Lonchura striata: one gene and its partners. The protein of the gene in region 3 interacts with the protein of the main gene of each other region in a biochemical or structural test. Links are inferred from orthologs where the notes say so. Each region holds a gene or a part of one and is shown on either strand. Other genes may lie near its edges. The genes, in order: COPZ1, COPG1 and TMED10.

Evidence for each region.
Region 1: the proteins of TMED10 (region 3) and COPZ1 form a complex in vitro, tested with the Homo sapiens proteins (2 studies listed by BioGRID, with this or other methods). The link is inferred for Lonchura striata from reciprocal best matches to the Homo sapiens genes TMED10 and COPZ1.
Region 2: the proteins of TMED10 (region 3) and COPG1 form a complex in vitro, tested with the Homo sapiens proteins (2 studies listed by BioGRID). The link is inferred for Lonchura striata from reciprocal best matches to the Homo sapiens genes TMED10 and COPG1.

Annotation. Positions count from the first base shown.
Region 1 is NC_134629.1:8,455,149-8,462,908, reverse strand, and holds the start of COPZ1 (coatomer subunit zeta-1), read right to left. Parts: upstream 3,080-7,760; 5' UTR 3,047-3,079; coding exon 3,029-3,046; intron 2,148-3,028; coding exon 2,034-2,147; intron 1,745-2,033; coding exon 1,663-1,744; intron 1,442-1,662; coding exon 1,350-1,441; intron 1,112-1,349; coding exon 1,056-1,111; intron 833-1,055; coding exon 755-832; intron 1-754. Other genes in the region: HNRNPA1 (heterogeneous nuclear ribonucleoprotein A1), read right to left, coding at 7,302-7,357. UniProt on the Homo sapiens protein: The coatomer is a cytosolic protein complex that binds to dilysine motifs and reversibly associates with Golgi non-clathrin-coated vesicles, which further mediate biosynthetic protein transport from the ER, via the Golgi up to the trans Golgi network.
Region 2 is NC_134614.1:12,750,197-12,757,922, reverse strand, and holds the start of COPG1 (coatomer subunit gamma-1), read right to left. Parts: upstream 3,076-7,726; 5' UTR 2,924-3,075; coding exon 2,887-2,923; intron 536-2,886; coding exon 483-535; intron 1-482. UniProt on the Homo sapiens protein: The coatomer is a cytosolic protein complex that binds to dilysine motifs and reversibly associates with Golgi non-clathrin-coated vesicles, which further mediate biosynthetic protein transport from the ER, via the Golgi up to the trans Golgi network.
Region 3 is NC_134608.1:23,131,093-23,138,113, forward strand, and holds the start of TMED10 (transmembrane emp24 domain-containing protein 10), read left to right. Parts: upstream 1-3,968; 5' UTR 3,969-3,982; coding exon 3,983-4,210; intron 4,211-7,021. UniProt on the Homo sapiens protein: Cargo receptor involved in protein vesicular trafficking and quality control in the endoplasmic reticulum (ER) and Golgi.

The DNA of each region.
Region 1 (7,760 bases), on a different chromosome or scaffold from region 3:
ACAGGACAGGAATGGGACAGGGATGGGACAGGGACAGGGATGGGACAGGACAGGGATGGGGATGGGGATGGGGACAGGGACAGGACAGGGACAGGGATGGGACAGGACAGGAATGGGACAGGGACGGGGACACGGATGGGACAGGGACAGGGATGGGACAGGGACAGGGATGGGACAGGGACAGGGATGGGACAGGACAGGAATGGGACAGGGACGGGGACAGGGATGGGACAGGACAGGGATGGGACAGGACAGGGATGGGGATGGGGATGGGGACAGGGACAGGACAGGGACAGGGATGGGACAGGACAGGAATGGGACAGGGACGGGGACACGGATGGGACAGGGACAGGGATGGGACAGGGACAGGGATGGGACAGGACAGGGATGGGACAGGGACGGGGACAGGGATGGGACAGGGACAGGGATGGGACAGGGACAGGGATGGGACAGGACAGGAATGGGACAGGGACGGGGACAGGGATGGGACAGGACAGGGATGGGACAGGACAGGGACAGAGGGGACAGGGACACCTCAGCACTGCGGGGACAGAGCCCGGGGTGGCAGTGCCAGTCCCAGGGTGACAGTGACAGTCCCAGGGAGGTGACAATCCCAGGTAGGTGACAGTCCCCAGGAGGTGACAGTGGCAGTGAACAGTCCCAGCGAGGTGACAGGGGAGGTGACAGTGGCAGGGACAGGGACAGGGAGGTGACAGTGACAGTGGCAGTGGCAGGGACAAGGACAGGGACCCACCCTCCATCCACGATCTCGTCCACGGCCAGGAACAGCCCCTCCATGTTGTCCAGCAGCGCCCGGCGCTCCACGTTCTTCCTGAGACAGGGACAGGGACAGGGGACATTGGGGACATGGGGACAGAGAGATATGGGGACATGGGGACATCACGGATACCCCACAGGGACATCGGGGACACCCCACAGAACTGTCCCCAGGAGTGTCCCCAGGTGTCCCAGGTGTCCCCAGGTGTGTCCCAGGTGTCCCCAGGTGTCCCCAGGTGTGTCCCAGGCGTCCCCAGGTGTCCCCAGTGTGTCCCTACCTCAGCATTTGACTCAGCGAGTCGAACAGGCAGTTCAGCACGGCCGTCAGCATCAGCTGGGGACAGAGGGGACACGGAGGGGACACAGAGGGGACAGAGGGGACAAAGAGGGGACAGCGGGGTCACATGGGGACACAGAGGGGACAGCGGGGTCACAATCCACCTGGGGTCCCCCAGCAGCCCTGGGTGTCCTCGTGCCCCTGCAGAGTCCCCACGGTGTCCCAGCAGTGTCCCCGCTCTGTCCTGCTCTGTCCCCCCATGTCCCCCCCATGTCCCCGTGTCCCCGTGTCCCACCTCGTTCTGGGTGGCACTCCCGATGACGCAGCAGTACAGGTCGATGCTGCTCTTGTACACCACGGTCAGCCCGTCCAGCAGCGCGATCTCACCTGGGGACAGCCACACTGTCACCTGCGTGTCACCTGTGCCACCCCTGTGTCACACAGTGCCACCCCCGTGTCACTCAGTGTCCCCTCAGTGTCCCCGTGTCACTCACTGTCACTGCGGTGGGTCTTGCTGAAGATGTCCTGTGTCCCTGTGACCCCGTGTCACCCCCGTGCCACCCCTGTGTCACTCAGTGTCCCCTCAGTGTCCCCTCGGTGTCACTCACTGTCACTGCGGTGGGTCTTGTTGAAGATGTTCTTCTCGAAGGCGCGCTGCTCCTTCACGCTGGGGTACGTGTCATCGTAGTACTGGGACACAGACACGGGACGTCATGGGGACATGGGGACATCATCGGGGACATGGGGACACAGACATGGGGACATCATCGGGGACATGGGGACACGGACACGGGGACATCATCAGGGACATCGGCCACCCCTTGACACCCGTGCCACCCACCCTGGCCCTTGCCCAGAGCCGCATCCCCCTCAGGGCACTGTGCCCCTGTCCCCAAGGTGTCCCCTGGCTGTCCCCAGTGTCCCCTGAGTGTCCCCAATATCCCCCCTGGGTGTCCCCTGGGTGTCCCAGTGTCCCCACCTTTGCGAAGAGCCGCTCGCCGTCGTTGTCGAGGATGATGATGGCCTTGACCGTGTACAGGGACGGCTCCTGGGGACGGGACAGGACAGGGACAAGGACAGTGCCACCACACCCCTGGGGACAGGGACAGGGACAGTGCCACCCCCGGGACAGGGACAGCGGGCGAGCCTGTGCTGGGGTCACTGTCACCATGTCCTCCCCATCCCTGTCCCCACGGCCTGTGCCCCCCGTCCCTGTCCCTGTGTCCCTGTCCCTGTGTCCCTGTCCCCTGTCTGTCTGTCCCTGTCCCTCTGTCCCTGTCCCTCTGTCCCCTCCCTGTCGCTGTCCCAGCGGGTCCCGCGGTGCCGGGGGTGCCCAGGACCAAGTTCTGTGATGCACTGACTGCCCAGAGCCACAGCCCAGTGTAGGACAGAACCCCGGCCTGAGTGCCCAAATCGTGCCAACCTGTGCCAAACCGTGCCAACCTGTCCCCAAAACTGTCCCCAGAGCCACAGCCCAGTGTAGGACAGAACCCCGGCCCGGGCACCCAAACTCTGCCAAACTGTCCCCAAATTGTCCCCAAACTGTCCCCAGTGTCACTGCCCAGTGTTGGACTGAACCCCCCCAGTTCCCCCCGTGCTTCAGTTTCCCCTCAGTACCCCAGTTCCCCCCGTGCCTCAGTTTCTCCTCAGTACTCCCAGTTCCCCCGTGCCTCAGTTTCCCCTCAGTACTCCCAGTCCCCCCGTGCCTCAGTTTCCCCTCAGTACCCTCAGTTCCCCCCGTGCCTCAGTTTCCCACCAGGCCCCCCAGTCCCCCCCGTGCCTCAGTTTCCCCTCAGTACTCCCAGTCCCCCCCATGCCTCAGTTTCCCCTCAGTACCCTCAGTTCCCCCCGTGCCTCAGTCCCCCCAGTCCCCCCCGTGCCTCAGTTTCCCACCAGGCCCCCCAGTCCCTCCCGTGCCTCAGTTTCTCCTCAGTACTCCCAGTTCGCCCGTGCCTCAGTTTCCCCGTCCCTCACCAGCACCAGCGTCTCCATTTTGCCTCCGCCGCTGCCGACGTGGAGCCGGAAGAGCGCCCGCCGCTGATTGGCTGCTCGCCTGCCAATCACTCTCGTTGGCCCCACCCCGCCGGCCTGATTGGTCCAATTCTTCCTCCACCCCACCAATCGCTGCGCGCTTCCGCGCGGTGGGCGGACCAGTCTTTCCCGCGCTTCCCTAGACAGGCGTTGATTGGACGATCTAGCTGTCAATCACGGCTGCACGGCGCTGCCGGAAGCGGAGGGGGCGGCGCAGTTGCCATAGTGACCGGGGAAGCGCTGACGTCACCGCTTTACCGGGGCTGGGCTGATTGGCTGGCTCGGCGCGCACGTGACCGGAAGTGGGGCCTGTTCTGCTGATGGCGCCCGGAGCGTGTCACGGGGGGGGGGCGGGGACAGGGGGGAGATTTGGGGAGATTAATGGGGGCATTGGGGACATTTGGGGACATCTGGGGACATTTGGGGACATTTGGGGACATTTGGGGCCACTGGGGACATTTGGGGACATCTGGGGATATTAATGGGGCCGTTTGGAGAACAGCGGGGGACATTGGGGGACACTTGGGGACAGCTGAGGACACTTGGGGACATTTGGGGACAGGGGTGGCACCTCTGTATCACCCACCAGGGGCTGGGGACATCTGGGGACTCTGGGGGACAGCGGTGGCACCCCCGTGTCATCCGCCAGGTGTTGTGTCTGGCCCCTCCGTGGCTGCTTCGTCCCCAGCCCTGTCCCTGCAGTGTCCCCAGGGTGTCCCCAGGGTGTCCCCAGGTGTCCCCAGGGTGTCCCTGAGTGTCCCCAGGGTGTCCCAGGGTGTCCCTGAGTGTCCCCAGGGTGTCCCCAAAGTGTCCCCAGAGTGTCGCCAGGCTCACCTCCGAGGGCTCCTTCAAAAGGGGAAGGTGGCAATCAGTGATGGGGGGGGGTGGGACACCCTGGGGACATTCAGGGACACCCAGGGGACACTTTGGGGACACTTTGGGACACCTGGGGACACCCTGGGGACATTCAGGGACACCCTGGGATACCCAGGGACACCCTGGGGATACTCAGGGACACCCTGGGATACCCAGGGACACCCAGGGGACACTTTGGGGACACTTTGGGACACCTGGGGACACCCTGGGGACATTCTAGGACACCCTGGGATACCCAGGGACACCCTGGGGACATCTGCGGACACCCTGGGGACACTCAGGGACACCTGGGGACACTCAGGGACACCCAGGGGACACTTTGGGGACACTTTGGGACACCTGGGGACACGACAGTCAGGTGGGGCGGAGCCAGGCTGTGACTGACAGCTGCGGTGACCAATCAGGAGGAAGCAGCCACCCCCAGCTCTGAAATTAACAATGATGATAAAAACCAATTAAAAAAAAAACCCAAGAGACATTTATTGAGGGGGGGGGGTACAGGACACGGGGGGGTTCCGGCCGCTCCGCTCGGGAACTACGGGGGGACCCGGCCCCGGGGGTCCCGGGGGATTCCCGGAGGTCCCGGGGGGAATCCCGGGGGGATCCCAGGGGTCCCCAGAGGGTCCCAGGGGAATCCCGGGGGGTCCCGGGGGGATCCTGGGAGGTCCCCAGAGGGTCCTGGGGGATCCAGAGGGGTCCCGGGGGGATCCCGGGGGGTCCCCAGAGGGTCCCAGGGGAATCCCGGGGGATCCTGGGGGGTCCCAGGGGGGATCCTGGGGGGTCCCCAGAGGGTCCTGGGGGATCCAGGGGGGTCCCGGGTGGTCCCCAGAGGTTCCCAGGGGGGTCCCGGGGCTCTCCCGGCCCAGCTCCGGCTCCGGCTCCTGGGGCTGCCCCGGCTCCCGCCCAGCTCCGGCTCCTGCGGGACAGAGGGGCAGGGTCAGCACCGGGATCGGGATTTTGGGATTGGGATTTTGGGATTGGGATCGGGGCAGGGTCAGCGCCGGGATCGGGGTTGGGATTTTGGGATTGGGATCGGGGCAGGATCGGGGTCAGGATTGGGTTCGGGATTGGGGCAGGGTCAGCACTGGGATCAGGATTGGGATTTTGGGATTGGGATTTTGGGATTGGGCTCAGGGCAGGATCGGGGTCAGGATTGGGATCAGGATTGGGGCAGGGTTAGCACTGGGATCAGGATTGGGATTTTGGGATTGGGATTTTGGGATTGGGCTCAGGGCAGGATCGGGGTCAGGATTGGGATCAGGATTGGGGCAGGGTTAGCACTGGGATCAGGATTGGGATTTTGGGATTGGGATTTTGGGATTGGGCTCAGGGCAGGATCGGGGTCAGGATTGGGATCAGGATTGGGCAGGGTCAGCACTGGGATCAGGATTGGGATTTTGGGATTGGGATTTTGGGATTGGGATTGGGGCAGGATCGGGGTCAGGATTGGGATCAGGATTGGGCAGGGTCAGCACTGGGATCAGGATTGGGATTTTGGGATTGGGCTCAGGGCAGGATCGGGGTCAGGATTGGGTTCGGGATTGGGGCAGGGTCAGCACTGGGATCAGGATTGGGATTTTGGGATCGGGACTGGGGCAGGATCGGGGTCAGGATTGGGTTCGGGATTGGGGCAGGGTCAGCGCTGGGATCAGGATTGGGGCAGTCAGGATCGGGGCTGGGATCAGCACTGGGATTGGGATCAGGAGCAGCTCCGGTGTTGGGGGCTCCAGGAGGGGCAGAGCCCCAAACCCAGCTCCAGTCCCAGCCCCAATCCTGGCCCAAATCCCTGCCCAGATCCCATTCCCATCCCAGATCCCATTCCCATCCCAGCCCCAAACCCAGCTCCAGTCCAAGCCCCAATCCTGGCCCAAATCCCTGCCCAGATCCCATTCCCATCCCAGATCCCATTCCCATCCCAGATCCCATTCCCATCCCAGCCCCAAACCCAGCGGCAGTCCCAGCCCCAATCCCAGCTCCATTTCCATCCCATTCCCATTCCCATCCCTGCCCCAATCCTGGCCCCATTCCCAACCCCAATCCCTGCCCAGATCCCATTCCCATCCCTGCCCCAATCTTTGCCCCAATCCTGCCAAATTCCCATCCCATTCCCAAATCCCATCCCAGATCCCATTGCCAAATCCCATCCCATTCCCATTCCCATCCCTGCCCCACTCCCATTCCCAGCCCCAATCCCAGCTCCATTTCCATCCCAGATCCCATTCTCATTCCTGCTCCAATCCCATTCTCATTCCTGCTCCAATCCCATTCCCATTCCCAGCCCCATTCCCATTCCCATCCCTGCCCCAATCCTGGCCCCATTCCCAACCCCAATCCCTGCCCAGATCCCATTCCCATCCCTGCCCCAATCCTGCCCCATTCCCATCCCATTCCCAAATCCCATCCCAGATCCCATTCCCATCCCTGCCCCATTCCCATTTCCATCCCAGATCCCATTCCCATCCCTGCCCCACTCCCATTCCCAGCCCCAATCCCAGCTCCATTTCCATCCCAGATCCCATTCTCATTCCTGCTCCAATCCCATTCCCATCCCTGCCCCATTCCCATTTCCATCCCAGATCCCATTCTCATTCCTGCTCCAATCCCATTCCCATCCCATCCCATTCCCATTCCCATCCCTGCCCCGATCCCCATGACCCTGCCCGATCCCAGCCCCAGCCCCGCTGCAATTCCCACCTCCCCTTTCCCTTCATTCCCATCCTTTTTCCACCTTTTCCTGTTATTTCCCCATTTTCCATCACTTTATCTCCCAATTTTAACCATTTCCTCCATCTCTTCCCAGCTTTTTCTCCTTTCCAACCTTTTCTCGCTTCCCTCTTTTCTTTTTTTCCCCCAATCTTCTTTTCCCCCTTTTTTTCCATTTTCCCCAACCCTTCCCTTCATCCCTCCCACTTCATCTTTTCCCAACCTTTTTTTTCCTGTTTTCCCACTTTTCTGCCTGAAATCCCTCCCATCGTTTTATTTTCCTCTCCCTTCTCCCTGACCAATTCATAATTTCTTCTCCCAATTATCTTCCCATTTTTTCCCACATTCTTTCCCATATTTTCCCCATATTTTCTCCCCATTTCCCCATATTTTCCCCATTTTCCCATATTTTCCCCATTTTCCCCCAATTTTTTCCCAAGATTTTCTCATATTTTCCCCACCTTTTCCCCATATTTTTCCCTTATTTCCCCCACCTTTTTTCCCATATTTTTCTCCCCCTTTTCCCAAATTTTCCCCACCTTTTTTCCCTATTTTCTCCCAACTTTCCCCACCTTTTTTCCCTGTTTTTTCCCCCATTTTCCCCTCCTTTCCCCCCGTTTTTCCCCTCACCTGGCCGTTAAAACCTCCTCCCTCCTCCGTAGCTGCCGCCGCCGCTGGAGCTGCCGTAGCCGCCTGTGGAACCAGGAGGGGATTCAGGGACACCCAAAAATCGGGGGGGGACATTTGGGGACCCCCAGTGACCCCAGAGCCCTGCCAGGACATTCTGGGATCGCCCCAGTTTGTTTTGGGGTCCTCCCAGCACATTTTGAGCCCCCCCCAGGTTATTTTAAGGCCGCCCCAATACAAATTAAGCTCCCCCAAGGTGATTTTTGGGGTCCTCAATGTGGTTTTTGAGGTTCCCCAGGATATTTTGGGGCTCCCCGGGTGATTTTTGGGGACTCACCGCTGCCATAGGGCCCCGAGCTGCGCCCCCCGAAGCTGCCCCCGGGACATTTGGGATATTTTGGGGTTCCCAGGGGGGTTTTGGGGGTTCCCCAGGTGATTTTTGGGGTTTTTGGGGACTCACCACCGCCGT
Region 2 (7,726 bases), on a different chromosome or scaffold from region 3:
CTGGGGCTACAGGAACCAACACCGTTCCCAGCCTCACAAGCAAAAAGAGAATGCTGAACCAACAGGGGCTGGGGATTGAGATGTTCATCTGCTCTTGAAAAGAACAGCATTTCTTCAGAGAAAATTCATAAAACTGTTTAATAACCACTCACACCCCTCTCACTAATATTGTTGTCCACAAGAAATTTGGGGTATCCAAGGCCAATTTCCCAATCTTCCTGGTTTGGGGTGAGCTTTCCCAGATAATTTTTTCCCTTTTATTAGCATTTAGAGTTCAGAGTCTTTAATTTGTTACAGAGACCATTTCAACCTCCTCCCTTTATCTGTCCAATAACAAAGTAAGAACTGTTGCCCGTTTCTTTCAGAGCAAACAGGACTGTAAGAAACCCTCATTTCCTTGCAAAAGTTCTCCAGTGACCTACTCAAGAGAGGGAGAGACTCTGTCCAGTGGGGTACACAGAGAAGATGGTCTGAAGATTTACCTCTTGCAAGACTGCACTCTTCTCCAGGTGCTGGAATGGGTTGGAATTCCCACCTGCAAAACAGAGAGAGTAAAAGTTTCTCCAAGGATAGTGCCATGGGAAAGCAACTTTTTAACCATGCCCATACTTTAAAAACAGTCTGAGCATTTTGGGGTGATTTTTTTTCATGAACACCAAGCAATGAGAGCACCCTCTTTGAAGTAATATTAATTGGATGTCTTCATGGCAGTCAGGGACGACAGACATAGACTGATTAGCTGTAAAATAACTGTGCTCCACTGTATCCCCAAAGAACTATTTCCACCCCTGGGCTGGGAGCTTGCTGGCAGTTAGAGCATCAATAGGACAGGCCTAGAAACAAAAGCTTAGACAGAAAGAGGTATTGCTTGCCAGACTGGTGAGTCAGGAGTAGTTTATCATCCCCTATAAACCAATCAAAAATCCACCAGTATTTTTGGCTCTATCACTAATTAAGAGAACAAGACAGCAGACTAGATAGGCTGGACACAAAGTAACTTTCATTGCTCAACAAAGTAAATTATACTAAATAATTAGAACTGCCAGCAATTAAGGATTAAATAATCAGAGGGAAAAGCACAATCATTCTGCATGGTCTCTATTAGATTGCCTCCCAAGCATTGAGTGACCTGCAGCTTTTCAAAAGCTGCTAGTTATTGATAGGCAGGTTTTAATTAGAACCTATGTTCAGCCTGCCTGGGACAGAATGCAGCCTTTTTCAGGGCTGTTCTAGTGTTTGTGCCAAAGCCTGGTCCACTAGAGACAACATCTCCTGGGCCAAAATCTGACCTGACCCAAGCTTGAAGCATCCTAGGCTGGTGCCAGGAGCCCTTCCCAGAGTAAGCCTTACATAGAAAAGCAAACACATCTGCACTCTGGCTCCTTCCTGGTTCATAAAATGCCCTCCCTCTGGCTCAGAAGAAGTTTGCAAAGGCAGCAGGTGGCTGAAGAAAACACACACATGTATGTGAGGTTGAATAGGTAGAAAAAAACAAGGGGAAAGAGCAAAAAGGTCTCTAGTATGAGTATGAACCAGTTCTAGGATAAATATGCTAATGTGTTCCAAAAAACCTGCCCAGCAGCCCAGTATTTCCATGGTCCAGCATGTCTACAATCCTTAAATCAGCCATGAACAATGCTGCATCACTTCTTTTTCCTTCATAGCACTAAGGATCTTGAAGTACATCGTACATGGGGTCTCAGTCCTCACAGCACCCTGCATCAGTTTTCTTCCATGGAGACGGAGAAAGATGCAGGGAGAGCAGAGGTTGTATGTTCATAAAGTTCCTAATATTGGATAACTAACAGCAAGTTATTTTGATTTGTTGAGAAACTTAATTTTGTGGTCAAAATTACATGTCACAGGGAGTGGGAGCAGGTCATCCAAGGCTAGCAAAACCATACATGGAAAGCAAAGACACAGAAGCAAACTAACTGGATACATGCATCTCCTGACAGCCCTAGCCATAAGTAATGTCAATACCTTGATGGGTGTGGCAGCTGCAAATGAAGAACAGCCCCCAAAATTAAAGCTAAGAGTAATTCCCCTCCAACAGCTGCCTCACTAAATTCTCTGCTTATCAAGATGCCACTGGAGGCCTTGGAAAAGGGAAACAAGGGCAAAGCATTTCATGCCCATTAAGATAAAAAGAAAGCAGAGTAACACAGAACAATCACCAAGACGTAAGCTGAATCAATTTGCTTCAGGACACACTGATTTGTTAAGCAGAGCAAGATGTGTAGAAAGCTTCACAGGAACATGAAAAAGATACCACAAAGCTAAACCACGAAAGGAAACACTGTCTTATGATGCATCGTTTACACCTGAATTACACACCACATAAAATATCAACCTCTTCCTTACTAATCGGCCTAAAGTTTTGAAAAGTCAGGCAACCACTTCATGTTTCCTTGGTGCTCTCAGGTTTTCTGATCCATTGAAAGTAGCAGTGATTGTGGGGCCAGAAACGATGGATTCTACCTGGCTATAGCACCTGGTTCCAGAGCTGGGCAACTGTGAACAGGGCTAATGTGCTCAATATTTAGTCTCAGGCTCTGCACCTGGTGATGTGGCAGTAACCTCGCTGTGCTGTGCCGATGCAAACAGTTTAGCCTCCGGCTGCAGCTGCGAGGAGGAGGCAGCAGACTGCTCCGGCGCTCCCACGGCGCTCCCACGGCGCTCCATGCGCACCAGCAAGCCCCCGCTGCCAGGCTGGCACCGAGCCCCCCCTCCCAGCTCCCTCTGTCCCTCACTGCTCCCCTCACGGCCACAGCAGGGGTCTCTTCCCTCTCGGCTCTCCCCGTGCCACGAAGGGGTCCCCCTCGCCAATCCCCTCCGCACCCACAGAGGGTCTCTCCCCTCACAGCGCCCCCGGCCTCCCCTCACCCGACTCCTCGTCCTTCTTGTCGAACTTCTTCAGCATGGTGCTACCGAGCGGCCTGTCGCTGCAGCCCTCCCGTCCGTGGCAGCGGCAGTCCCAGCCTAGATCCCGATCTCGATGCTGATCCCGATGATCCCGATTCCGGTCCCGGTCCCACTCCCGGTCCCGGCACCGCCCCCGCCCCTTCCTGCCCCGCCCGCTCTGCCCCCGCCCCTTCCTGCCAGCCTGTCACTGCCGCTGCGGCCGCCGCACTGCGCAGGCGCGGGGCCGCCTCCCGGGCGGCTGCGGGGCGTGGCGCGGAGCCGTGACTGACATGGAGGGGGCGGGGCCAACCGGCAATAGCGCGGTCTGATTGGCGGGGCTGGGGTGGGGGTCGGCGCTGAGGGGAGCGGGCAGGGGCGGCCCTGGGGACACCGGGGCTGCGGGGGACAGCGGCGACACCGGGGCTGCGGGGGACAGCGGGACACCGGGGCTGCGGGGACAGCGGGGGCACCGGGGCTGCGGGGGACAGCGGGGGACAGCGGGGATACCGGGACAGCGGGGGCACCGGGACTGCGGGGGACAGCGGGACAGCGGGGATACCGGGACAGCGGGGGCACCGGGACTGCGGGGACAGCGGGGATACCGGGACTGCGGGGGACAGCGGGACAGCGGGGATACCGGGACTGCGAGGACACCGGGACAGCGGAGGCACCGGGACTGCGGGGGACATCGGACTGCGGGGACACCGGGACAGCGGGGATCCCGGGACTGCGGGAGACACCGGGATTGCGGGGACACCGGGATACTGCTCGGTGCTGTGCTGGGGCAGCCCTGGGGACACCGGGACACTGCTCGTAGCAGCTGGGCTGTGGAAAGCACACGGCCCGGGGCAGGAGGCACTGGTACCAGCGAAACACTGGTGATGGGGGCTGGCACTGGGACCCCTGAGCTGGGCAGGGGAAGGGCACTGCGGAGGTGAGGGGGCACTAGGGACAGAGTGGGCTGAAGCGTAGGGGCACACTGGGTCTCGGGGAGGACAGATGAGACACTGTGGCAGGACATGGAAAGGAGATCCTCACAGGCTCAGCATCGCAAGAACAATTGGAAGTGGCAGGGAAGAACTCCCTTCTGCAGGATGGACAGTTGTCACTCAGGCTGCCTGCCCTGGAGTGTCTCACTTGGGTGCACCAGCTCTGGCAGGTCTTCCTATAACCTCTGTCCCCCACTGCTACCAGCACCCTGTCTCTACCCTGGCCCACAAACTCGGGCTCAGCCCCACAGCACACACCCAGGGGGTGCAGGGGGGTATCTCAAGGGGCCAGGCATCATCTGAGCCTCAGGTCAGGCAGGGATAGCAAAAAACCTTTTATCCACCTTGCCACCTCACCCCAACCCACCATCTGCTGGCACATCCCTTCCTGAAATCTGTCCCTTCCATGGGATGTGGGGTCACCCCAGCTGCTTCTGCCCCTTTCCCAAAGCCAGTGCCCAATCCACAGTGCAAGGGCTCACTCACCCTGCAGCAGGTAGTCTTCGAAGAGCATGGCCGTGTCCCCCACCAGCTCCAGTGGCCCCCCTGCAGGTGTCTCCCGGCCTCAGCCTTGCTTGCACCACCCTGTACTTTGCACAGGGCGGCCGCACTCTGCACTGCACTGCTCTTATCTCCCAGCTGTGCTGAAAGCAGCAGCTCCAGTGGCACAAGACAGTTTCCTTGTTGGCCCAGAGCTGCTGTGGGCTCCCTGGGCCAGCTCCACTGTTGGTGCAAGGTCTGACACCCCTCGTGTGGAATTTAATGACCCCCCATGCTGGCCCTAGCTGAGCATGTGCTCTCACAGTATCTCTGGGGAAAGGGAACACAAAATGGGTGTGTAAAGGGGTGCAGAACAGGTATAAAGCATGAGTTGTGTTTGATGCCACATTTTATTGTGCACGCTCACTCAAAATTCCAGCTTTGAGGCTTGGCCAAGCTTTGTGGAGGATTTTGTGTGCTTCAGTCACCCAGAGAGAAGAAGCACCCAGGAAAAACTGCATGGCTGGATGCAGCCCCTTTGGAGACATCTAGGTGGTGGATGAGCAGGGAGCAAAGCCAAGCTTAGAAATCCCTGTAGTGCCGGGGGCTGGGACCAGCTGTGCTCAAGCACTGGCCAAGGTAAACCCAGCTGTGTCTTCTCCAATGGTGCTGAGGTGAGAGTTATTAAATCAAATCCTCCCACGGCTGCTGCTTGTGCCATGAGCACTGGGACCAGGGGGATGAGGTGCCATGTCCAGTGCCCTGCACACACACCAGTGCTGCTCCATGCCTCCCTCTACCAGTGCCCTGGCAGCCCCGCTGCCCTCTCCAGCCCTGCTAGATGCCAGCCAGGACAGCTTATCTCCTGCGCCCCAGGCGGGCCATCAGCTCGGCATTGGCAGCCGCCTTGGCCTGCAGTTCCTTCTCTCTGGCCAGGTCGAGCAGGATTTTCAGTAAGTGAGTGTGGACATCGAATGACAAGGACAACTTCCTCCCCTTTTTCCTGGGAGCCGCTCTCTTGGTGGCTGGGCTCATCAGCCAGGGCACTGCTTGTCTTTCTGGTCCCTCTAGCAGTGGCAGGCTGGCTTCAGCTGGATGAGACTCTGCTCCAGAGCCATCGTCACCGCTCCTCACTTTGGAGGGATCTGGCAGCATCTTGCTAGGGCTGGTGCTGTCCTGCCTCATCAGCTTCCCTCCATCCACAGCCTGGGGGGCTGGTGGGAGCCACTCACGGCTCGGTCCCTTCCAGGCCCTTGTTGGTGTCCCCAGGAGCAGCAGGAAGGAGAGCAGCATCCTGCCTCGCAGTGTGGCCAGGGGAGCCTGCGGGGAGCACATGGCTTGGCATCACCCCCATCACCCTGCCATGGCCCCACAGCCCCCCAGGCAGGACACATCCCCACCAGGGTGTCACCCACAGAGCCCCCCCACTCCCTCACCAGCTGATGGGGCTTCACCCTCCTTTCAGGAGCCCTTCATTATTCCACCTTGGGGAGGCTGAAGGGGAAATGGGAAGCAAATCACCTGGGTGTCCTTGTCCTTTCACACAGCCCCTGGCCAGATGCTAGCCATGCCCTCCATTTCACACCCTTCATGCCTTTGTCCCCCAGGGAAGGAGACAATCCTGCTCAGGAGGGTGCCTGCCAGGGTACTGTGGCTGCTCCCCAACCCATTCCTGCCCTTTGGCCAGGGTTTCAGGGCTGGGGTTTCAGGGCTGGGCAGGCAGTGGAGCATTCTTCCTCCCATGCGTTCCCTGGCAGATGCCATTCCCCACTGTGTTGCTGGGCTCTTTGGGGCAAAAGCCACCCACCAAGGAGGGACACGAGCCACTTGGACTAAAATACACAGCATATTAGTCACGTTGAGGTGACAGGGAAAGGAGAGTGGCCACAGGCCCTGAGCTGTGTCAAGCCTCAGCAACTTTGTCCACCCCCTCCCTCACCCTGGTCACAGGGAAGCCCCAGGGATTGCAGGATGCTGTGCTACAGGGTGGGGGTCAGGGTGCTGGGATGTGGGGTGGGGGTCAGAGCAGGTGCACAAATCCTGCTATATAGCTGCCTCTCTCCAAAATCAGTCACCCAGCAGAGTATCTCTGGGGTGAAGCCCTTTGCAGAGTACCAGAATAGGCAGCCAGGGGTGGTTAACTCGCTGCAAAATTAGGAATGAAAAGCATCTAACCCCCTGCAACCTCTTGCCCAGCTAAAAGCCCCTGAAAAGCACCGCTGAGGGCACAGCCTCACCATTTGCAGCAGGTCCTCGTCTCCTCGATGTTCAGGCAGTGCTCCCAGGGTGCAGGGACCACAATCTGGGCATTTACTCTGCTCCCTGCCAAGCCCTGGCTCTTATCCTGTCCCAGCTCCACCTCTGACCCGCAGAGGGGGTGACAGTGACAGGGGGAAGGTGGCGGGGGGGTGGTGTGTGGAAATGTTTTTAATACATTTTGCCTAATGGCAGATGAAATCATCCCAGGATGTGGGTGGGTGTGTGCCCCCTTGCAGCTCCACCAGCTGCATTTCGAGGGGATTCCAGGAACCTGGGACATCTCAGTTGTTTCATGTTTGACTTGCAAGATGTTTTTTCTTCATCTAATTAGGCCTCCCTGCTCCTGTCAGGCTTGGTAATCACTTAAGGGAGGGAGAGAACATGCATATTGCCAGGATTATGGGCAGACCTCGGGGCATTGTGACTCACAAGGCCCCTGGACAGCTCCTGGTACCAGTCTGGCACTGTGTCCTGACAGACTCCCTGGCCACGTGGAGGACATACCTAGAGACATGTCACCTCCCTGCTGTGCCAAACCCAAGCACTGCTTTTGCCACTGGTTTGCAGGAAGGCAGTGACTTGCAGCTCACTTTTATGCATTCCAACTGGGACACCACTGATTTCCAGGCACCTGCACCAGCCCAGCCTGGCCCAGGCCCCTCTGCCAGCTGCCAAGGTGGGTAGCAGCCTGTAGGCATTGCTGTGGGGTGAGCCCCATATACAAGGGCTTGGCTCCACAGTTCCCCTTAGGGAGTGTGGGAGCATCCCAAGGCTCTTGGGCTGGGTGGGCACTGCATGAGGTGAATTGTGGGTGCTCAGCCCCATGAGCTGGCCAGGACCAGGAGTCAGGGTGCCCAGGGTTCAGACCACTGGATTGCCCACCCTCGTGGTCTGAACTGATGGGTGACCCATCCTGTGCCACCCTCCCCAGGACAGTAGGGAACAGAAATAATGCCAGCTTTGTTCTTCCTCCCAGGGACAGCCAGGAACTCACACCCAGAAGCCAAAATTAGCTGGCAGCACTGATTCACACAGTACATCATGCAGCACCACAGACCCACGTGCTGACACGTCAGGGCCTGGACAGGGGGTCA
Region 3 (7,021 bases):
CAGAGGCATGTTTATCATAAAGGTCAGAGGAGGACAGGGCAGGGGCTTGAGAGGAGGTAACAAGCCAGCTGCTTCTTGCAGAGGTTGGGGGTATTTAGGTGAACTCTGTATTGGTGTTTGCTGGAAAAATTAATCCCAGCACTGTTGCTGGTGAGCAGGAAAGGCCAGCAGGCCTCTGCTGGACATAGCTCATGCTACTGGGGCAGTGGGAGAAGCAGGGCTTTGCCTGGAGCCATCCATTGGGAATGGAAAGGGATATGGGCTTCCCCTGAACTCCAGGGGGACAGTAGGTGAAAGTTGCTGGGAAGTGAAGCGCGAGGTTTCCTCAAAAAGATGGGAGAGCTGTCAGGCTACTACTTAAAAGCTGAAAACCTGCCTGGGAGCAGGAAAAGCTCTGGGGAGAGATGAGAGAATAATGAATGCTCACTTCCTCAAAATGGTTTGTTTGTGATTGAATCTGGGCTGTCTTTGATGAAGGATGTTTTGTTTCCCTAAATGAACTCAATTTGGATTGAGCCCTATACTCTTGATTTCAAGCAATTAACATCTGTGCAGGATTTTGAAGCACTTTGTAGAAATAACTTTAGTCACTTGGTGAAATGGAAGAAGATACACATAAATATAATGTAACAATAGTTTGTCTCCTCAAAGTGATATCTAAAGTTGTTTTGTACTATGCCTGTTACCCAAATGCTATATATTTTAGTTATGTGGCCAGCACACAGTACATGTCATCTCTGGGACAAGAGAGACAAAGCAGTGCAATGCTGTTTTATGGCTGTTTAGCCACTGATTTATTTTTAGTTGGTTGAATAACATCTCTATCTAGATTGTGATCACAATGGTGACTGGGGGAGTTATGTCCCAGCAATGAGTTCAAATATAGCCCCTTAAAGGAGTGGCCTTGCACTTTCTAGAAGTGGTAGATGGATAATTTTGCATGGTTAGTAAAAGCACTGATTAGCATTGTAAAGAATATGTAATTTTTATACAATTTCTCAGTAGCTTGTAGTGGATTGCCAGGTGCAGGGCACAATGCAAAAGTATTAGAACATAAAAGTAAGTCTAGAATAGTTTTTAAGAGGAACATTGTTTCAACTTTTTATTGTCCAAAACAAGAAAATGCAAAAATGCCACAGCAGCTGACGCAGAAGCTGTAAAAAAAAGGTCTAATTATGTAATTCATACACATTCATACACATTGTTTCCTGGAGAAAGCAAATTAGTGTTGCTTTCTGCCATTTAGCATAGATAAAAGATACATTTTGGTGCGGCAGGAATTGACTACTGCTAACACTCTGTGAACTTTGTCAGTTTGGAAAAAATTAGAAATTTGGTGGGAAAAGGCATATTTTCTTCAATGGCCTTTGCTGTCTCAGACTACTGAGACATCCAAAAGTTTCTATTGCTCTTTTGCTAAAATAGAATTGAAAGCTGAATAATTCATTGTTCTCTTCATCATTTTTAAGACAGCAATAAAACTGCATTAGGGATATTTGGAAAGATAAAAGCTATCTTTTATCACACGAACAAAATGGTTTGAATTTTGTCAGTGTGTCGTGATTGGCAGCTGATATTAATGCTTACATTGGGGATACACCCATTTGTCTATGGGTTAGTGGTAGTGAGAACAAATATCTGCCTCCAGCTGAGTGCTGAGCTCCCACAATGCTTAACACAGCAGATTAAGCTAAAATAGGTCATCGCTTCATCTGGAAAGTTGTGTAACAAGTTATCAATCTCTCCTTCACCTCTGTTCAGGGTTTTTGAATTACAGGAAGCATTTCATTTTGTTAGCCTCCACTATGTGGAAATATTAAGGCATGTCCCTGCAAGACTGTTATTTCCTAACCTGGAGCTGAAAGGATCTTCAAATGCTTTCCCTCTGCTCTAAGTTACTTGGCACACTCAAGGGAAATTGCCCCATTGCATGTTTAAATGCTTTTAAAAAAAGCCGGGGATTGTGAAGAGACTCATAGCAGCTCTGTACCATTTTATTTCATAACACACTGAAGCACTAAAGGATATCTGAGGGGGTTTTATAATTAGATCTGAACTTGCCTGTGTGGCAGTTTCTAGAATAATACGTCCACAGGAGGAGACTACAACAGAAAGCAGGGGATAGATTTGTTGGTCATAAATGTAACTCATCTAATAATGTACCATGACAAAACGGCCACAGTAGAAAGGGATTGTAGTCAGTCGTATATTTGCTTTTTGATGGTTGAGTTCACACTTTGATTTTAGAAAACAAGGCTTTAACTTTAACATGAATGAGCCATTTCCTCTGGAAAATAAGGCTATATTTAAAGTTTTAAGCATGTTAAAAGGCTGGATCCATATTACTGTTTTGAGGAATGTTCTGCATGAAGAAATTTGTCATGCTGTGCCAGTTTTATCAGAAATTTTGTGGTACAACATTTCATATCTTCATATTCTAGCAATCAGTGTTTCTTAAAGTTTGTGAAATATCTCTTTCTGCCTTAAGCACTGCAATGGAAAGAATGTTTTAATTTGCAAATATACTTCGACATATTGCAAAAAGAGCAAACTATTTATTATGGTTACATTTCAAATAAGTTAATTGTCCAAGTAAGGGACAGTTTTTGAACTAATAAGAGAGTTAAAAATGTATTGAAATTCCATCAAGTGACTGTAAATCCCACTTCAAACAATAAACTGGAGCTTAAAGTAAGGGCAAATGTTTGGTGCTGGGAGGTTTTTGTTGTTTTGGGGGTTTTTTGTGATTTTTTTGGTAAAAGTTTTTTATTTCCCTCCAAGTATGAGGTCACTTTATCCCTGCACATTTGGGCTTAGTGTCTGTTCCTGAAGGAGAGCTTCATCATATTTTCTCAGTAGGTATGAGCACAAGCGGGCAAAAGCACTGAATTGTTCTTTAAAATGCTCCACAGGTGAACATCCAAGCATGAAATTTGCCACTTAAAGCCTCTTGTAGTTTGTACCAACTCCTTGTTATTGCTTGCCATTAAAGACATGCTTTGACCAGAGAACACAGCTGGTGATGTTTAAAGGAATAAAAGTGGAACAATGGTGTAATTTATTTTACTCAAGCTAACAGAAATAAAAAAGATATTTTGCTCTCTAGCAATGTTACTATCCATTTCTTTCTTCCTGCTTTTCCTTACATCTTAGCACACCCAAATGTTTGCAGCTGATCCCAGGAGCTGACTGCAACCATGGTGACCATAGCCACACACCTGTGCAATTTTCCTCCTCCCTGCTCGCAGGTTATGCCGCAGAACAGGTCACTGCTCCCAGCCGTGTGTGCCCTTCCCGGCAGCTCCACTGCCAGGCCAGGAGGCTGGGGATGGAGGTGATGCGGTGCCAGGGGAAGCAGCAGCCCAAAGCTCATCAGTGGTTACCCAATGCAATCTTCCTGAAGAATAAAATATATCAAGAGAGAAAAAAAAAAAAAAGAAAAAAAAAAAAGAGAAGAAAAAGTAGATCTGAGTATATGCTGGAAGAGAGAAAAAAGTAATGTCTTCAAAAATCATTATAATTTTATTTGCTGTTAAAAACACTTGGGTACTCCTATTAAATGCAAGGCATTGATGCAAAGAAGCAAGACATCTGATAAAACTGAATTTTCTTGTGTGAAGAAGAGAGAAGTCACTCCTCAAAACTGAAAAACCCCATACAATAAACAGCAAGTGTCTCTCCCAGTGAAGATCCCCAGCCGCGAGGCAGTCTCACGGACATTCAGAGTGCTGCCGTGCCTCGGAGCACGGCTCGGTTTTGCTCTAATTTTCCAATTCTTTAACGAGCGAAGCCACCATTACTCGCTGCCGTCAGCCATTGCTGGACAACCTTCATAAGTCCTGCGTTTCCTAAGGAAACACCCCGCGGAGGGGTCGGGGCCCGGTGCCCCGCCCCGCCCGCCCCGCCCCGTGACGCACGGCGGCGGCGGTCACGTGCGGCGGAGGCAGGCCCGGCCCGGCCCGCCGCGCTCGCAGCCGCCGCCATGCCGCTGCCGCCGCTGCCCGGCCGCCCCCGCCTCGGGCGGGCCCCGCTCCCGCCGCTGCTCCTGCTGCTCCTGCTGGTGGGCCCGGCGCGGCCCATCTCCTTCCAGCTGCCGGGCAAGGCGCGGAAGTGCCTGCGGGAGGAGATCCACCGCGACACGCTGGTCACGGGCGAGTACGAGATCAGCGCCCCGCCGGGCTCCTCCGCCGGACCCTCCGCCAACCTCAAGGTGCGGCCCCGGCCGGCCGGGGGCGGGGGTGGCCGGGGCGGGCGGCGCGGCCCCGCCTCCCCTCGCCGGCTGTGCGGGGCGGGAGAGGAAGGAAGGAAGGCAGGGGTGACGTGTTCCACGCGTGGCACCGGCCCACGCGTGAGCCGACAGCCGCCGGGCCCGGCCTGCGCCGCGCCGCGGGACTCGCCCTGTGCGAGCGGCCACCAGCCCGCCCAGGAGCTCCGGGTGCTGGGCAGCCAGGGAGCCCAGCTTCAGCTTGAGCCACATAGGAGCTTTTTCTCCCCAAAGATCGAGTTGCAGCCGCCCGTCCCGCAGTCTGCCATTTAATCCGCACACGATGCGGATTATCCGGCGCCTGGCGAGATGGGCCGCCCCGATAAAGCTGTACCAATGCTGCTGACACCGTGTGAGCAGGAAAGAGTTATGGTGACGTGGCTTTCCGAGGGCTCCCTCCATGCTTAGGGCCTGGCACAACCGGATCCTGGCACAGTGGAATGGGGGCTGAGAAAATTTTGCTGTACCAGGTTCTGGTACCCAAATTGGCTATTCTCATCTTGCTGTGTCGTGGCTTGCATGGGTTTTAGGTAGGCAGATATTTGCTGCAGGGAAGAAAATGATCCTGAAGAATCTTCAGGAAGTACAGGATTTGCAGAATACTCATGACTAATACACCTGTGTGACACACAGTTGTAAAACTTCAACAGCTTCACTTAAATTCTGCCCACAATCTGCATTTCCTAGGCTTTCTTCAAAATTCCATCCTAGCTGAATAAGGTCTGTTGCTACATAGTCAGTTCATAACAAGCCTTCTGGCAACTTTTTTATTTCTGTCTACATTCCCAAAGGTTTCAATACTAAGCACGCAAACAGAGATAGAATGGTCTGCTCAGGAGCTTCTGAACTTGGTGTTCTTGAATATTTTAGGCATCCTGAAATCAGATTGCTTTTCCAGCATCTGCCTACCAATGCCTGAAGGCCCTGGCACTCTTGACAGTTGTAGCTGGTTATGGCTAAGGAAGGCTTCTTCTGGAGTCATACTGTTTAAAAATCATGTGGTTCTGTTCTTGCTTCATTTGTTAGAGGAAACTTGTCTGCGTATACGTAGAGCCAAGCAGCAATAAGGCTTTAAAATGTGGATGTAGTATTTGCCTGGTAAGGCACATGTATTTCAGATGGAGTGCTATGTTCCCATGTCTCTTACTGCTTGGTAACCAAGCCTCCTGGTTCTCAGGTTGCCCACTCTTAGGTCAGTTGGCCCCAGGGTCTCTTTCAAAACTCACTTTTATGACACAGAACTTATTTAGGGAGATGATGGTGAACCTGTGATTCCCATGTTTAAGTCTCGGTTGGCTTTGCTTATGAAGCTGGTATTGGGTGGTACTGCTTACAGAAGTTCTTTTTTGTTCACGCCATAAAATGAATTAATTTTTAAAAGTCATGTGTAGTTTGAAAAGCTACAAAGGTGAAAAAGTAATGTATGCAAATTCTTGCTTTCCTTCTTATTGTTCAGGTATGCTGTGTCCTCCCAATGTGCTGGGCTTGTTATAAGTGCTGAAACCTCTGACAGGTGCCTGCTTTCTCTGTGGTCTGTGTAGGAAAGGTCAGTTCAGGACATGATGTCTGCAGGTACTCTGTTCTGCACTGGATGGTCTGCTTTGGCCCCCTGGATTGGGCCAGCGAACAGAAGAGGGAGGAGGTTGGTAGTCAGTTCTGTCCAGGCTCAGTTGGGCTGCTGCCGGTGAGCTGAGCTGTGTGTGACAGCCCGGCGCTAACAGTGGCACCCTCTGTTCTGCAGGAATCCGCGGGCTCGGCCAGCTGGCTGCTGCGAGGGGGCGCCTGAGCTCCGTTTGGCAGCCACGTGCCTCTGCCCCATTGTCGAGCCCGACGGTATCGGGCTGTTTGTCAAGGGCAAACAATGCCCTGTCTGTAGGGGATTGCCTTACCGTAAATAACGTTAGAATAGCATGAAAAATTCCTTTCAGGTCGACTCCCCCACAAGCGTTCTGGCTGGGCTATTAGCAGCCTGTCCCGCCCCCGCACACCCGGCTGAATGGGCAGTGTATTTGGCTGATTTGGGTAATGCTATTCAGTTTTGATGAAAGTGGATAGCAAAGCTTTTACTGTCCAGAATGCCGTTTGTGAGCTGCAAAGGGCAAAAATGGATCAAGCTGCATAAAGATTAGCTCTGGTGCCTACAAAGGCATAGGAAAATACTAGGGGTATCTGAGAGCTATGTTGTTCTGACTACTTTTTGTGATGGAGAGCCTGGTGTGCAGAATGTATGTCATGCTGATGAGGCATCTTGGTTAATCATGACCCCTCCTCTAAAACAGCACATGCCATGTTGTGGCCAAATCACAGGCTTTTACATTGTGTTGGCATGGTCAAACATACACAATCCTCTACTGCAGATGGGCCTGCTCACTTGGGCCCAGTGCTTCCCAGTGCCTGGTGGCTTGTGACAAGGGAATGGCAGCACAGCTGCCTGCACCTGACTGTGCAGGTGTGCTTTCATCTGCTTGCCACTTGAAAACAGGTACAGCTCTGAGCTGCTGCGTGGGGAAGAGTGTTCCTCATTGTTCTCAGACACTTGACAGCATATGATGCAAGGGCAGCTACAGCAAATCCCCTAACAGGCCATTGTGGGATAATGTATTTATAGAGGAAGCTTGTTCCTAAAGCCTTGCCTGCTATGGTTTATACCATAAAGTGTGAGAGTTTATATAGTTGATCGTTTTTCCTGCCTAATGCAGCAACTCTCACCCATGAGTAGGTCCACACGTTTTAAATCCAATGCCAGAGAGTTAATTA